4 linked regions of the Arabidopsis thaliana genome follow. The protein of the gene in region 2 interacts with the protein of the main gene of each other region in a pairwise test. Each region holds a gene or a part of one and is shown on either strand. Other genes may lie near its edges.

Region 1 (4,806 bases), on a different chromosome or scaffold from region 2:
TTTGTGTTCGGCAGGGTCTTGTTGACATGCTTGATAGTTTTCTTGCTGTACATAATAATCGCATCTTTCTGCGGAGGAATCACTTTACCATCATGCAGATCTTAAAATCTGGCGGCCTTATCTAAGGTATACTGAAACGGACCACTGTTTTTGTAAATCAACTCAGTCGCATCATTTCGATTTGAAGCCTTGGTTTTGTCATGAAAATGACTGTGAGTTTGAAGTTACATGTCATGGTCCTCCTTGCTTATGTAACTCTTGTAAATGTCAAAATCAAAATGATACAGAGGTTCATTGAACTCTTGCCTTGTCTTTTAGATTTAGTCACGTGAGTGAGTTTGTTCTCTGTATTTCCAAAACTTTATCCGCTGTGTCTTTATAATTTTTGCATTTGCAATGTACATCACATATTCGTTATTTTTGTTGTTAAAATTACTTCAGTTTTCATCTTTGTTTAATAACATTTCTGATTCACAAATATCTGTTTCCATCATTTCTGTCTATGTTTTCATTAACTAAATCATATTAGTTGCTACTACCTTTTTAGCAAGTTTGTCATAACTTGTTACGACTTTATATATGTCATCGATACAGTTTAATCCTGCCTGTACTGATGAACACAGTATGAATATAACCAGAATGCTTAGCACTTGTAGTTGGAAATAAACTCTTACATCCAAAAAATTACGAGAAACAATAGAGTGAAATAAACAGCTACATAGTTGTCTTAGCTGTATTGATAGTCGGGCACTACACATGCATCGGAACAAATGTATCCAGTATATGGATCACAAAGCTTTAGAATGATAGGAGCTCTGCATCTGGAGTGACATTTTGCACAGAAGGGGCGAGAACTATAGCTGTTAAGAACCACTTCAACTCTAACATTATTGTAGTTGATGATGCGTCCTGGCATGAGACGTGAAAAGTCTCCAAGCACACATTCAATATGTGCAGTAACCACACATTTAGAGCAAGTGTAGAACCACTTACTTGGATCTGTTTCCGCCTCGCAAATATCACACCAATATTTTCCGGTTGCATTTTCGCCATAGCATAGGGAAAGAGGATGATTGTCGCAGCTGTGCTTTACCGTTTTTGGTAAATCAGTACAGTGTAAATCCAGATCAAAGTCACAAGTGTCACAGGAAAGCAGATAACCATCTATCTCTTTATAACATGCATCACAACAGTGATCTTTCTTATGTTCGTAATATAGAGGATGTCTGTGACCATCATGAATGACCGGTTCAGAACGCGAACCACAACGTACATCTAGAACCCACCAATCAGAAACGTACCTGAAACCAGTAGACTTCGTTCTACAAGCATAGCAGCGAAAGACATCGTAGAATCTAAAATCTTTGCTATGGAATGTACGAGGTGGTCTGGACCATAGTGTGAATGGTTTTGTGTGGAATACATGTCGTTTCTTTTTTGGATGATTAGCGCATTTCTCATGGAGAATGAAACGACATTCCTCACAGTTGTAGATCGGATCGGAATAGATAGGAAGGACGCATGCTTCACAACGTGAGCCTTCGTCACGATTGATATTGTCCTTGTTGAGTCTTAGATTATGTTCTTCATGACTGAAATGCTTGATCAAGTTATCACCCACCACTTTGAACGGCACAATATCTTCGTCATCATCATCTGGTGTCCCTTCGAGTTCTACCCCATCCCATACGTCTTTTCTTGTTGCACATAGTGAATGAGCTGCATAGTTCGGGCAACGAGGGCATAAATAAGCCCCATGGTATTGACTTATATCTTTGCGACAAATACCGCATCTCGAGTACCCAACACCGAGATGATGGGTGAAAGAGATGCGATGATCGTGACGGTTGATGTTTATGACACGTGGTAAGTCAATACAAGTTCTATGGACAACAAACCCGCATTGAACACACATGTAAGGACTTCGATCACCTTGCATCCCACAAGCATTACATTCAAATGAGATGAGTCTTGATAAGAGGACAAGTCGATGCTCGTGCGTCTTATGATGCTCGATAGCAAGTGGTGGTGGATCTTTTGTACAGAATCGACATACGCTGAAGTTGCATATCGAGCAGCGATAAAGCACTTTGTCTGGTCGTTCTCCACATAAAAGACATGTCTCTTCAGCATCACTTGTTAGTGATTCATATTCAAGTAACTTGAGAGAATGTTGAGGATGAGAAGGATGATTCACCTCTTGGGAAAGATTGACACACTCGACATGAAAGTGGACTTCACATTCAAGACATGCATAAGAACATCCACCATTATAGCCCTTGCAAATTCCGCATCTGCGCCTACCCGGCTTTGCGGGTTCTTTCAAGAAGATAACTGGATGATGATGAGACTTTGGATGTTCGATAGAAACCGGCAATGGATTTATCCCACAAGTGAGATCCACGATGAAGTCACATTTTGATGAACAACGATAACCAAAAGCGAAAAAAGTCTTGCCACATAGATTACATTTACATGGGTTCCTTAGAGAATTGTGGAGTTTAAGAGTGTGTTGAGGATGAGAAGGATGGTTGATAATCTCCGGTGGAGCCTCTGCGCACTCTTTGTGGAAGAACAAACTAGTAGAGGAAGGCTCGTTGCAACGGTAGCCGCCATAGATGGGACCTTTTATATTGCAACCTTTACAAGAATCATTAACAAAACGAGTCGAAATGGTCAAAGGATATTTGTGAGTTGGTAGTATTTTGGGTGGTAGATCCATTTTGTGATTCAAATGCGGTTTGTTTTCTGGAGATCTCAAGATAATACTACATCATATGAATGCATCTTTGTAACCCCAATATAACAAAGACACGTAATGTGTGAACACCTTAACGATTCTTGTCTCCAATGAATCATGTGCAATCGATCCTGTTTTCCACGAGATGATTATAATATATAGTTGAATTATTTCATATTCCTAACTGTTTACAACCTGCACACATTAAATTATCTTATCATCGTTATAGCTACCTATGAATATAATAGTATGAAAATACCCAATAAATTAATTTCCTAAACTCAACATCTAACGTGTTAACAACAGCTAAGATATATAATTATATTGAATCATTTCTGCAATTTCATATTCTCTATCGTGACACTCGGAGTCTTGAGATCGCTAGATTTCTTTGAATACTATGATTGGTAAAGTCGTGTGTAAAAAAGTTAGACCGAGACAAAACGAGGCACAGGAAGAACAATAACAGTTGGGCTTTTTCCAGATAAGGCTTCACCTTTTAACAATCAAATTCTACATATTGGGCCTACGAAGAGGTTCATAAGATTTGAATAGACAATTAGAAAAACAGCAATTATGTGACAAATAGTGTTTTATTCTAATTTTGGATGACTATCGGTGAAATTTTAATTTTAATCATCATATAACAAAACAAAATTCCAAAACTTCAAATTCTAAAATCAAAATTTTTAAAATACCATACAATTTCTTTTTTTTTAAACAATTGTATGTTTTGTATTGACAAAATTAGTTTTATTGATTAGCAAAAAATTCGTTTAAGACCTTAAATTTGTCCTTTGTTAATTGTTATACCAAATTTTAGCGTAAAGACAATCTCTTGAAGGAGAAAAGGAAAACAATCTCTCTTTCTGTGACCTTTCGCAACTTGTCAAAGCACCACGACCTTCTCTCTACGGAGTTGAGATCAATCCCCCCAAATCTCGGTGTGGTTCCTCTAGGGTTTTTGATCGGAATCGGAATCGATAATCTAACCGGCATGAGGCCAATCCTATTGCCGGATCCACCCAGTCTATCTACCGGCGTCCCTGATATTTTCGAACAAGGCGGTTCCCATAACGTCGTCAGACGCGCCGTCGTCATCGGAAACGGTTTCCCTGGCTCCGAGAATCAGTGTATCGGTCTCGTTCGTGCGCTCGGCTTATCTGATAATCACCTTCTCTACGTGAGTTTCTTTGATCTAGGCTCTAGACGTTTTTAGCATCTGCTTAGTGCTTTCATTTCGTCGACTATAAACCATTGATACTATACTCGAAATTCTCGTCAGTTTTTGCTAGGCGCATGATGTAGTTGAGAGATTGATGATTGCTTTTGGATAGGAGTTTCTTTTACTTTGTTGTTTCGTCGTGTGTTCTAGGTTTTTAGCTTGTTAGGTCTCAGTCTAAGTAGGAGTGGAAATTTCATATTGTTTAGTACTTCTTTAGAGTGTATGAATGTTCAGAGAAGGAGGAACTATTTGAATTTTTATGGAAACAATGAATTGGTAAATATGTAAATTTGCCAATATCTCAAGTTCTGCAAATTTAGGGTAAACAGTGGAAGGTTCTTGGGGTGTCATAACTACCTATATTGTCAGTTTTATTTATAATTTTTTTTGGTAAATCTTAAAGAGAATTGAATCATTGGTGGAGCATGATGCTGGTGCAATTACTGAATTTCGTTTACAAGGAACACTGGTAGTGGAGTCTTTAATGCTTCTTTTAGATCAGTTTGGATGCATATAAGGCTGTTTTGCTGTGTCTGGTTTCTCTAGCTTCTTGATCATTCATAGACTCGACATTCACGTAAATTTACATTTAACATGATTTTTGGTTAGCTGAGATTATCTCTTTTTCTTTATGCAAGCGAGTGACAAGGCCTAAAGGAGGACTAAATGAGTGGCTGCACTGGCTCCCAGTTGGTTTTCACAAGAAGTTGGACTTTATCCTCAGGCATATTTACCTCTACTCCAGATTGATGCTTGGATCCAAACAAAGTAAATACATCTCATCTGTACCCTCAGAGAATGGTGGTAATGTAGGTTTGGCCTCTATTCTAGAGGCTGATGT
Region 2 (3,586 bases):
GATGATTTTAGAGTCAATTATTTTCTTGTTGTTGTGGATATGGCAATTTCTTCGGTAAAGAATAGTTTTGAACAAATGATGACTTTTAAAAGTGTATTTGGATTTTTGTTTGATTTATTGAAATTAAAATCACTTGATGAAGGTGAATTAAAAGAGCATTGCATTATTTTTCACAAAACATTTTCTCATGAGAATGTCTCGGATATTGATTTAAATGATCTTTTTCGGAATTAAAAGTTTTGCAAATGACTTTATACCAAGTGTCAATGACACCTAGTGAAGTGCCTGAGTTTGTAGAAAATGTAGGATGTTATCCCAATGTTTCAATCGCTTATCGAATCCTATTAACAACACCCGTGACGGTGGCTTAGACCGAGAGAAGCTTCTCAAAATTGAAGTTATTAAAAAATTATATGAGGTCCTCTATGTCTCAACAAAGGTTGAATGGTCTAGTTATTCTATGCATTGAAAAAGTTAGTGATGAGGACATAAATTCAAACTGTACTGAAGTTACTCGGGTTCCGACAATGTATCAACCGCCTAGAACAAGGTCCGGTTCAAAGACGATGCGGGAAGAATTCAACAAAGCTGTGGAGAGTTTGATAACCTATAGAGAAATGGAAAACACCATCAATCAATTCGATAATCTCACTCTTTGTAGTAACAAGCTTAAAGAACAAGAAACGGAGTCAACGGAGCAACAAGTTACGGTTACAACTCAAGACTTAAGTGTTGCCCAAGCTTTTGTGATCCAACAAGTGAAAGGCCTCTCCTTAAGACAAACGAAGCCCATGTTCTCTTTGTCATCACTCCAAGGGACGCCATTTAAGGAATGTCCGTAGTGGACGCTTCCAAGGTCGTGAGCTTCCTCTCCAAACTAAGGTATGCATTTAAATCTTCTAATTAGCTGTCAACTTTCCTTTCTTTTGCAGGTTGGGTTGAAATTAGTCTAAGTTTATTTTGTCATTTATTTCTCAATTATTTGTTGCCTTTTTCTTCTCTTTTTCAAGACCCTTGAAGGTCAACGCTGTCGACATATTAATAAGGTCCATTGCAGCCATTGTAGTTCATATTTTTGCTTATTATCAATAAAGAGAGAATTTTCTTTAAAGTGTTTACGAGTTCACCGGTCTTGTGCGGCTTCCCCCTTGATCGTGAGTTCTTTGACTTATTACAATCTCATCATCGATTGTGTGGCGTCTTCGATCCATTCCACCTATTAGCTGAACCAAAGAGAACCGTGTGGTCCTTTGTACCGGCTCCGCCATCTACGTAGAGAGTATCGTGTGGTCATCTACTTGGATCTTATATCAGTTAGTTAGAAAGCATAGACTTTGACACTGTCATTCATGACTTTGCGTTGACTAGAGTTCGTCAAAAGCGTTTCTTTATTTCAAATTAACTATTGTGTTTTATTTTGTTGTTTTAGATCCAATAGAAGAGGATGCATAAGATATGAAGCAATTTAAAGTAATGTGGTATTGATAAATGAAGATATAGAACTTAAAACATGATTATATGAAATGGTTTTTGTTTTAGCATGCTTGAAAAAACTCCTTTTTGTAAGTTGCCGTAAGGCTTCTCGATTGTTTGAGCCGGGACTAAATTTACATGAAAAGATTTGGTTTCGAGAAAGTGTATCAATGAATCGACGACATTAATACATAATTAATTACAGCCAATAAATATGAGCCACTTAACTTCAAAAATACACAAAACTCGATTTCTTTGCGTAATGCGAGGAGAATTAAAAGAGTATTGGGTTATTAATAACAAAATTGTCCAAAACAGCCTTGTGATGTCCAACAAAGGAACGAATATTTTCATTTCCCTGTCCAACAATGACGTCATTTCCTACCTATAAATAAGTTCCACTCGTCCCCCAGAATTCTCGGTTTAAGAGAAAAAGAAACCAAAAGGCAAAAAAGACACAGAAAATTTTGAAACCTAGAAGCTTCTAACAATGGTGGCCGTAGCTGAGAATCAGAAAACGAAGAACAGTCTCAAGTTCCTCTGCAGTTACGGCGGAAGAATCCTCCCTCGTTCTATCGATGGAAAGCTCCGTTACGTCGGCGGTTTCACCAGAGTACTCTCCGTTCATCACTCTATCTCTTTCACAGGTCCGTTTCAATCTTTTTCCCCCCATTCCAATTTCATCTAACTTTTCCAATTCATCGAAATTGATTTTTCTACTTCTCCTTCAGAATTGACGATGAAGTTGGAGGAATTTTGTGGATACTCCGTTGAATTGAAGTGTCAATTACCAAATGGAGATCTCGAGACACTAATCTCCGTCAAATCGGACGAAGATCTGGTGAATATCGTTGAAGAATATGATCGTGTTTACGGAGGCAAGATCCGTGCGATTTTGTCGCCTCCTAAGCAGATGTCACCACGATCTAGCGGCGGCGGTGGAGATCTATCGCCGAAATCGCCGTTCTCCGTCGTGGCTTCTCCATCTCCGCCTCGGTATTGTGTGGCTCCGCCGACGGAGAATCTTCTCAGTAGATTCCGTATGAGAACTGGAGAATACTCTCGTTGCTGTAACTGCCGTGTTCCAAACAGAGACTCCAAGCTTATCTGGCAATAACGTCAGACGGAGAAATAAAAATGGCTTAGAAAAAATAAATGTGAAAAAATGAAATCTAGGGTTTTATGATGTGTTGTTGTATGTGAAGAGAAGGAATTATGAAAATTAGTGAAATTTTGTGGTCGGTGAACAAACGGAGAAGTTGACGGAATATTTTCCCGGCGGTTATTAACCGTTAACTTTGCCGTTAAGATATGTGGGCAACGTACGACGTCAGTTTTATTCAATACGTGGTATGTTGCGACTGTTCCAGACGTGAAACGTGTCGTAGTCAGATGCGAGTACACGTGTGTATTGTGGGGATCAGTGGATGTGTATCCTCACACGTGTACCTCTGTTAGAGTTTCTTATTTTGTTTCCTCAGCAGAGGTTTTGCTCTCCATTCATTGTTTTTGTATTTTGCTAAACTTTCATTTTGTTTTTGTTTGTATATTATATAGATTTATATTGTACATTATTTTATTTTATTTTGTCTTATTTTATGGGTCTAGTCAGGATGACATATATCCAACTAAGTTTTTATTTTCCCAAGAAAAAGAACAAAAAAAAACAGGGAATTATATATAGATCCCAAAAACTATTAATTATTAAATCCCACACTCATAGACAAAAAAAAATAAATTTTTTTTTTTTTGATAGATTGTCAAGTGACCAAAGATCGTAAGAACGCAATTAAGATCTTAACAATATGAATGCATAAACACTGAGGGAGACTGTTTTCTGAAGAAGAATTAATCAAAATTTTATTTTGTTAACAATATGTTAAAATTTGATTTGACCATTTCTCAACAAATTTGATTTACTCGACATCGTTGGATCTAATTGAAGCAAATGTCTTAATCATGTCACTGTGTCACTGAGCCAATCGATCTTCTAACCTTTACAAGTAAAAATTTGGAAAAATAGAAAATGTAGGGCAAGTGGACACTTCTCTAACTTTGGTGAATGGTTAAATGTCAGCATCACTATCACTATAACACACAAGATTAGATACGT
Region 3 (4,586 bases), on a different chromosome or scaffold from region 2:
AACATCATTAAGTTTGGAATTGATATCATAGATCACACACGTCACTGTTCTATAAGTCAAACACTTGAGAAAATTGCCAAAACAAAACAAAACCGATGAATCTCTAGTATCTTTCACCTTATCATAAGAATCTGTTATCCAGAATCAGAACAAATTAAGTGAAATAAAAAACAAAAACTGGTAAGAACTATGAGAATCGGAGAATCCAAGTAATCAGATTCAAGGAAACCACGCCAAGGCAGAAATTTCAGAAACCAGAATCACAGGCGAAACGAACAATGGTTGTGGAAGATTCGGATTGCGAACCTGAAAGAAGAAACTTAAAAAGAGGAATCTGAGAAACGATGATCCGATCCGGCGAAGGATTACTAAATGAAGAAAGCCGTGCGGAGATGAGCGGTGAAGTTGTTGGGAACTTGAATGTTATATGTTAGCTTCAAATCTTAAGCTTCTTGTACTGATTTGTACATAATTCAAGTGTACATTGAACTCGTCTCATTTGTTGAAATGTTCCAACCATGTTCTCAAATTTATGAAACTACCCCTTTATTATGTAAATATATAATTTTGGCCCGTTAACTAATGTTTTTCATTATCACACCTAACAATTTCTTTATATTTACGATGAAGTAGTGAAAACACTTTCATTTGCATTCAGTTGGATTTTTTGGTTTCCATATGGAGCCATTTCATATGATACTTACTAATTCAAAGCTAGGAATACTTCATTTATTTGATTTGGTTTCATTTGAACATAATTGGATTTATGTTAGTACATAGTTTCATTTAAAATAATATTCGATTCCATTTTTCTTTTGTGCTTATTAGATTCGAAAAATTTGATTCGTTATAATATTCAAATATTACTACAAGAAAACTATCAATAATAGGACTAACTATATAAGAGGCTCTTAAGTAATCAAAAAGTATGGTCGACATTCGTATAATGCTAAATTCTAGTATATCTAGTGAAATCAAAAGTTTTGGCTAAGATGCATCTTTACCAAAATTCGGTTGATTGACTTGCTCTGCCAAGTACAAACAACCACGAGACACGACTTGATTTATGACTGATCGAGCAACATCGTACCGGGACGGCGGGCCGATTAGTCCATATATATATGGATTATTTAAGAGGATGAGAAAATAATGAACATTTCTAAGTTCTAACACAAAATAATATTGGAAGAAATACTAATCAATGCACATGTCTTCGACAAACAAGGAAAACAACAAAAATTGTTACGTGAATTTGACAATATAAATATTGTTCTTGTACGACCATGATTGCACCTTCGGCATGCTAGTGAAATACGTCTATTATAAGTTTGAATAATTACAACAATTTCACCGTTTATAATAAGGTGCAAGTTGGCAATAATCTAAGGTATATAATAATAGCAAACAATCGAGAAAGTGAGTATACACTCACCGGTGTCAAATTTAAATTATCTTATATTCTTGATGTTAATTTAACATAACAATTTTTTTTTGTTGACCCTTTTACAGTTTTCTTCTGCATGTTGACAGACTAAAAAACATCTATCTTCTAGAACTAACCCAAAGACTATTCGGATGTGTAATACAGTTGATGAATGATGATGATTCAAACATTCAAATATTTGTTATACACAAAAGAAATCCAATAACACAATCATAAAACATATCTAAGCCTGATCAGGCGAAAGATCGACGACAACGACTTTTGTTTTTCCCTTTTTCTTAACTATTTATTTATCACTTAACCTTAAAAATATTGCTTCACTAATGTTGATTTAACAAAATATTAAGAAAAAACATGTAAAAGGCTAAAAGCTGGCCTCTTTCAACGTCGAAGTATCAAAACACTAGTGTTGGGCCCATTCACAGTGTCCCCAAAAGTCATATTAATCCATGGAGAGATTCAGCTAACGTCACAGAACCGTCACATAATCTCATCACCGCCTTAAAACTCATAAAATCTGACAGGCCACGTGTAAATGAGCAATAAGTTCACGTACTCATTTTCCAACACCACCATCACCGATACATAATAAAAACCATTTCATCACAACAGTCTTCTTCATTTCTTTCTAATTTCTTCTCTTCATGAATTAAGCCAAACCAACAAAAAAAATCATTTAATTTTCGCGGAGAGATGGAGAAATTCTCGTACAACTCTTATCCAGATTCAACCGACTCGTCACCGAGATCTCGTGAGATCGAATTCGATAACCCGCCGCCTCCATGGGATGATCAGAACCAGAACCAGCAGCAACATAGCTACAAGGTGAAGTTTATGTGCAGCTATGGCGGCAAGATTCAGCCACGGCCTCACGATAATCAGCTCACTTACGTAAACGGAGAAACGAAGATTCTTTCCGTTGATCGCGGGATTAGATTCCCTGTTTTAGCTTCCAAACTCTCCACCGTATGCGGCGGCGGTGATGGCGGCGGAGGAGAAGTTACGTTTAAGTATCAGCTTCCGGGAGAAGACTTAGACGCTTTGATCTCGGTTACGAACGATGATGATCTGGAGCATATGATGCACGAGTACGATCGCTTGCTTCGTTTGTCGTCTAAGCCAGCGAGGATGCGTTTGTTTCTCTTCCCGGCTTCTTCTGGATTTGGTTCTCAAAGTTCGACTCAATCGGATCGAGATCGCTTCGTCGAGGCGTTGAACACTGTTCCTAGGCTATCTGAATCGGAGAAATCCGTAACTGCTCCTCCGAATAATGCGGATTTTTTGTTTGGATCGGAGAAAGTTGCAGCTCCGCCGCCGCCACCACCGGCTGAGGTGAAATTACCGGTTCCTGTGGCGTTAGAACCGCCTTTGTTTAACGATCCGCGTGTGATTCAACCGGATCACGTCGTAAATCCGATGGAAATTCAAAGACAAATGCAGGAATTTCAGAGGATGCATATTAGGGATCAAGAACAACAACAACAACAGGAAGCTGTATACAGAAGGAAGAGTAACGAAGACGGTTTAATAGAAACCGGAGGTGGATACTTCTCTCCACCGTACATACAAAATCCTGCGCCACCACCGCCACAGCAGACGATTCCTCAAACGAATCCGCAAGCTCCTCCGATGACGACTTTCTGGCAAGGAAACCACAATCCAGGAGTCGTATTTCCAACAACCACACATGGATTAGGATTACCAGAGCAACCAGTTTACATGATCCCATCTCCATCTCCATCTCCGGTGTACCACGCGCCACCACCACCGCAACCGCAAGGTGTCATCAGACCAATACTTACAGGACAAGTAAACCAAGGCGGCTACTATCCTCAGGTACAGAGAGTGGCTTCAGATACTTACAGAGAACCACACCAATCACCGTACAACGTGGCTCAGCCACTTCAGGCACCTATAGGAACAAAAGCAGCACAACAACAACAACCTCCTCCTCCTCAGCCTTTTACCTCTGGTCCTCCACCACCGCAATACACCGCAGTACCACCGCCACGACAAGTAGTAGGATTACCAGATACATCAGCGTATACTCAGGTGACTTACACTGGAGGAATGGGGAAACAAGTTTATTACACGGAGGCTCCACCGCCGCAGTACCATGGAGTTGGCTTACCTGTAACTGGTATGAGTGAATTGAGAACTGGACCGGACGGGAAGCTTGTTGCTATGAACATGGCACCTAAAGTTTCATCTCAGAGTTCAGATTCGGCTGTTTGATTGATGAGGTATTTCATATGGTTGAATCAGATTATTGTTAATCTATTACAACAAATTTCATCATCTTTTATATATATATATATATATAGTGTAATTAAGATCACTTTGGTGTCTGATAAATAATGTTTTTTTCTTTTTCCCTTTATCTACTTGTTTATTTTATCTTATGATGATGTTCTTGATTCTGCAACTTCCATCGCGTTGCTTAAATCCAGTCTATTGTGCATTTGATTGCATTTATCTGAGAACCTTTTAAGCCATTTTACCTTTATTTTTCTTTTCGCCATAATAAGCTGAACTCCTTTTTTCTATCCAAGTGGTGTAGTTGTCCTTCGGCCATAATATATATGGGTTGTTCCACATGAAAATCATTTTGTTGTGGAAGATAGAACATTTCAAAATCAATAATTGGCTTCTTTGTAAAGAGATAAATATACACTCTCTCGTATGTGACCAGACTTTTAGTTAAATGGTCTACTAGAAGTTCTCTGCGTCATCTTAGCTACATTTAAACCGAATTTTCTACAATATATGATTTTAAAATATAAACTGGTCCAAAGAAAACTATCTATCAAACTCAGGGACAGGTGTTATGGGAAAGGATATTATTAGACTACGAGTTTTGAACTTTTAAGAATCCTTACAAAGAAAAGTCATATAGCTTTAGTCACTCACTTATCGGCCATGTCATAAACTTATTTGTTGCATCCTTCCCGAATCAATAAACGACACTTTAAGTATGTATATGAATCACCATCAACATCATCACGGAATACAATGCATCAATCGAAACAGAAAACCCCCCTATTAAATTATGATATCTAAAACAGGTGTCTCTTTTACACTAGTCTATGTCTCAGGTAAGTCTCACTTTATCAATTTTTGGATCATTTTGTACTCTGTCAAC
Region 4 (5,110 bases), on a different chromosome or scaffold from region 2:
GCTGATGCTAAAAGAGTGTCAGAAGAGTTAAAGAAAAAAAGACAGAATTGCAGACATGAAAGAGACATAAGACAAGAAAAACCCATTAAGATCCAGTTGGTTTGAAGCAAGGGATGGGGAGCTGACCACAGAGAGAGATTTGGTTCAGATCTTGTAATCCAACCAGGTCTGCCAATGCTTCTGATGCACAAAGTCACATCTCAACTCTGTGAACACTGCAGAAATATTATCTGGGACTATTGACAACTCGATTCAAAGTGAGGCTCTGTGTTGCTTATGAGAGAATAGTGTAGTGCAAGAGTAAAATATCTTTGAGTCATGTATAGAGAGAGAGATAAAAAGGACTGGGTTTGGTGTTTAGGTAAAGATACAAATGCCTATCTCTTTCAAAAGAGATAGTTGTGTTGCTAAATTGCAAGACAGATCGATTTTGTCACTACCTTTTTCACCCACACCTTGTCTCTTAGAAGTTGTAGGGTTTGTGTGTACTTTTGCAAGACCACACACATGTTTTAATATCTGTACCTATGCTCCCATGGATAGCAAGAAGCCAGACATACATTCTTCCAAATATTAAATGTTATACATAACATTTCAGAATCTTTCTGAACAATATTATAGCCTTCAAAGTCTCTTGAAAAAACAAGATAGAGAGATGATGATCAAAAAAGTGATACATTTACAAAATGAAATGAATGATAATAATATGATATAAGATCCAGGAAAATGGTAAAGCACTACATGTATCAATTGCAACTATATAATGTAAAATCCCACCAAGAAGCACTATTTATTTGTTTTTTTAATTTACTCACACAACACTTTTAAACACAACCCATAATACCAAACTTAACATGACACCAGACTCTTTTTTTGATGCAGCAACTTGTAAAAGAAGAGAAGAAAAAAGAAGTAAAAGTTATATATTTATACGTTTAAAAACCAACCCGGGGTTTTCTTCCTCCAAAATTTTGTGGTTCATCTTCATGTGTTCCTTGTGTGTGTCACAATGGCTGTGAACTCCGGATCTGTTGAGTCATGTTCTCAGCTGGAAGCTTAGCAGCAGCAGAACCATCAGGCATCACCATGGCAGGTGGAGGCCCAGTCATTGTCTGGTACTGTGCATGTCCCATAGGTTGAGTGTAGTATATCTGTGTATGAGCATTGTCGACATATTCATATCCATAGTTTGGATTCCCAGCTGAACCAGACTGAGGAGGGTGACGGATCTGCGAATACCCCATGAATTGCTGCTGGTTTGTGGGAATCTGGTGAACCATCTGAGCACCGCCCACACCTGGGGCTGTTGTGTAAACCCCAGCCTGTCCCATCTCAGGTTTGCCACTGCTAACACTTCTCATGTGGTTGTTAGGAGGTGGAGGCATCATGGTAGAGTTGGGATGGTTAGAGGGGATAGACCCTGCAGCATCGCTCACACTTGGAGATTGTGGCACAGGCATACTGTAGGGCCTAGGTGGGACAGGAGCAGTGACATAATAAACAGGATAAGGCTGCTGATCCAGTCGACCTGCGTGTTGATGGAAGGACTGTTGAGGCTGTTGCGAAGGGTAAACCTGGATGTAAGTCGGGACAGGAAGGCCGCTAGACGGATGGTGATGAATGTATTGAGGAGGAGCAGCAGTGTGTATGAACTGCTGCTGTGGCTGAGATTGTGCAGATTGTTGCTCAAACTGGGGGTGAAGGATATAGGCTGGGTCCTGATTCTGATGCTGTGACAAAAGTGTGCTTGGATCTGAGGGATTGATCATACCAGTAACAACGGTAGAGCCAGAAGGTATCTGAGCAATTGGTTCTTGATAGACAGATGGTCTTTGGTGAAACATTGGGTTGCTCATACTGCTATCACTGAGGCATTCATTATATAGCAAACACACAATCAGAGTTCTGACCAATCTTAGTTCTTCTATAGCATCAAATTAAGGCTCATGAGGGTTCCAATATAAGAAGAAAGAGTACCTGGAAACGGAATTGGGTGATGGCAGCTCGTGTCCACCACCGCTATTTGATTTCAGCTGATGAGCCTGCTGAGGCGGTAGATTCTGCGGCTGCGATCGCGGAGTCGGAGGCTTCCTGTATCCAGCCTGCACGCCGTGATCGGATCTCTCGTCATCTGAGTAAACCCTGGCCTGGAACTCATTAGAGACGGTGGCTGCAGTCACAGGCGCAGCAGGAAGGGCGATTGTGACAGGCATCGGCGGTGGTGAAGAGATCGCAGCAAATCCGTCGTCATGTAGCTGATGCTTGTTCCCGACGTTGAATCGTGCGAACTGTTCTTCAATTCCCAGATTTCTCTGATCTGGCAAAGTCCTTACTCCGCCTGGTTCCTCTACATGGACACGGATCGGAGGCAAATTGGCGAGCGAGGGAGACGAAGAAGTGGAGCCGAAAGAAGAGGATGTATCTAACATCGGAGAATCCGGTAAGCAGTTCACATCTTGGCCTCCTTGCTGTTGTTCTTGCTGCTGCGGCGGTGGAGGTTGCTGTTGCTTGGCGCTTTTAACAGAGCCATCATCACCATCTCGATTGTTGTTGTCACCGGAATTAGAACGGAGAGCAAGAGCATCATCCAAACCAAGTAAACGATTGACGTTAGTATCAGAATCTGAGAATCCTCGATTGAGAAGACCGGCGCTATTGAGTGCGTTGAGGAACCAATCGTCGCTCTTGGCAGAGCTCTCAAGGATCTGACCCATAGATTGAGTAGCCTCAGGCTTGGAGGTGAATAGAAACAACCGGAGACGCGAAGGTTTGGTGGAATTGGAAGCGGAAATGGTACGGTCATACTCTTCGATCATGTTGTCGAGATCTTCGTCGGTAGTGACGGAGATGAGAGAGTCAAGGTCTTCGCTAGGTAACTGGTACTTGAGGGTGAAGGAACGACCGTCGAGAAGCGTGTTGGAGAGACGAGCGATGAGAGAAGGGAGAGAGGAGTTACGGTCGACGACAACGATGCGAGTGTCACCGCCCATGTAGCAGAGAGACTTATCGTGAGGGCGAGGAAGGATATGACCGCCGTAGCTACACATAAAACGAAGTTTAGAAGAGACGGCGCTACCACCACCGCCACCGCCGCCGCCAGAAGGAGCAGGAAGGTCATCCCAGCCATCGGTGGTGCGAGAACGAGGGGAGGAGTCGAGAGATTCGGGGTAAGAAGAAGTCACGTGAGGAGGTAGAGGAGGAGGAACAGGAGCAGTGGCGGCGGAGATGGAGGTGGAAGCCACCGCGGTGGAGGACAGAGAAGAAGGCGGTGGTTCCATTTGCAGAAGAAAAATTAAATTGAATTTGATATTTAGAGAGAGAAAGAGTTAGTACTTAGTAGTAGTATAGCTGTTAGTCCACGACTTGTATGTAAATGTAGACTACAGCTGTTTTTTTTTTCTTCTTTTTATTTTCCTCTTAAATCTCATTTTTGGCATATTTTACTATTTTTACCAAACAATTATGGTTAAATTTATTTCTCTTTCAGTCCAATTTCTTTCAGTTTTTTTTTTTTTATAATGACATTTTAATAGAAAATCATGAAATTGATAAGAATGTTTGTGTGTATTACCTTAATAGTGTTAGTGAATTTGTGTGTATTACCTTTCAAAATTGTATTTGTTCGTGATGGTTTATCTGATGCCATGTATATCATTTTGTGTTGATAAGAATGTTTGATGCAATTAAGACCAACATGCTCTTTCAAATGGATGTATGTATGATCAACTATATAAACCATCCGTCAAGCAGTAAGTATAAATTGTGTATGCGAGTTAACTGCGAATCGAGAGACCGAGTTCTCAAAAATGTTGTTACATACGTGTCGGGATTTTTCATAGACATTACTTCCTTTATATCAAAATATACGATGTTTTAGGATTTTTTTTTAAAATATATATCATGTTTTACAAATTTTTAAATACATTTGATATTTTATGATCATTTTTATTATGCAATCTTTTATATCATTGACAAATTTTCTTGAATTAAATATTAAATAATTATTTTTTAAAAAAATATTTTAATACAAAGAGAGTAAGATTTATCACTATCTTAAAATTTTTGTTATTAGTTAGGAAATAAAAACTCACACTATAATGATCGCCTCAATGTTATTTTGTCGACTTTCTTATGGATACATCTAATGCATTATCAACTATATAAACCGTTTGTCAACGAGTAAATACAATTTGTGTATGTGAGCTAACTGGAAATTGAGAGACGGAGATTCCATAAATGTGGTTACATATATGTCGGGATTTTCCATAAACACTACTTCCCTTATATCAAATTATAAGATGTTTTAGAAAAATTTTAAAATAATATATACTTTTTACCAATTTTTATGCAAATTTTAAATATTTTGATATTTTATGACCATTTGTATTATGCAGCCTTTATATCATTGGCTGAATTTTTTTGAATTAAATTATTTAATACTTCTTTTCAAAAACAATTTATTTTTTTCAAGTGTATGCATTTTAGCTAAAACATCCTACCTTTTAATACAAAGGTAGTATTTTTTTGTTATTAGTTAGAATGTAAAAACTCACAATATAATGATCGCAAATATGATTAAATTTAACGTATCATTAGGCTATTGTAGTACGGCTGGTGACAAAAATATTTTATTTAGTAAACTAGTATACCCACTACAAACAGTCAAACAATGTTAATATAATTTAATTAGTTAATTGGTTATTTTGTTAAAGAAAAGCAACAAACTGATGATAATTTAGTTTTCTACTACTACTGTATATTAATATATATAAATATATAATATTACCAAAAAGAGTTATAAAAAAAACCCAACGGTTATAAGTTATAACATACAACAAGGTCACATGAAAATGGTGAATAACCCCAAAACAAATATATTTTGGCACATTAGCAACAAATGCACGAGATTATTACCTTTTCAAATCACTTTAATCAACAATTTAGAAAGGAATAAGATGAATAGAGTTTCCTAAAGCAAAGTAATGAATAAAATTGGACGATGATATGATTATGGAAAGCTGATTCGTAATTACTTTGATTAGTAAAAGGTGAGACATTATAAGCGTTACTAATCAAAAGTTGTAATTAAGGAATCAAAGAAGTTGTGGGT

Evidence for each region.
Region 1: the proteins of AT3G48240 (region 2) and AT5G22355 interact in a two-hybrid assay, tested with the Arabidopsis thaliana proteins (one large-scale study listed by BioGRID).
Region 3: the proteins of AT3G48240 (region 2) and AT5G64430 interact in a two-hybrid assay, tested with the Arabidopsis thaliana proteins (one large-scale study listed by BioGRID).
Region 4: the proteins of AT3G48240 (region 2) and PDE331 interact in a two-hybrid assay, tested with the Arabidopsis thaliana proteins (one large-scale study listed by BioGRID).

Annotation. Positions count from the first base shown.
Region 1 is NC_003076.8:7,399,678-7,404,483, reverse strand, and holds AT5G22355 (Cysteine/Histidine-rich C1 domain family protein), read right to left. Parts: upstream 2,778-4,806; 5' UTR 2,723-2,777; coding exon 728-2,722; 3' UTR 512-727; downstream 1-511. Other genes in the region: VAMP714 (vesicle-associated membrane protein 714), read left to right, coding at 15-105; ELM1 (fission ELM1-like protein (DUF1022)), read left to right, coding at 3,738-3,923, 4,604-4,806.
Region 2 is NC_003074.8:17,865,418-17,869,003, forward strand, and holds AT3G48240 (Octicosapeptide/Phox/Bem1p family protein), read left to right. Parts: upstream 1-1,713; 5' UTR 1,714-1,963; coding exon 1,964-2,120; intron 2,121-2,204; coding exon 2,205-2,590; 3' UTR 2,591-3,043; downstream 3,044-3,586.
Region 3 is NC_003076.8:25,761,633-25,766,218, reverse strand, and holds AT5G64430 (Octicosapeptide/Phox/Bem1p family protein), read left to right. Parts: upstream 1-1,798; 5' UTR 1,799-2,137; coding exon 2,138-3,679; 3' UTR 3,680-4,059; downstream 4,060-4,586.
Region 4 is NC_003071.7:113,191-118,300, reverse strand, and holds PDE331 (Octicosapeptide/Phox/Bem1p family protein), read right to left. Parts: upstream 3,376-5,110; 5' UTR 3,279-3,375; coding exon 1,978-3,278; intron 1,867-1,977; coding exon 1,005-1,866; 3' UTR 551-1,004; downstream 1-550.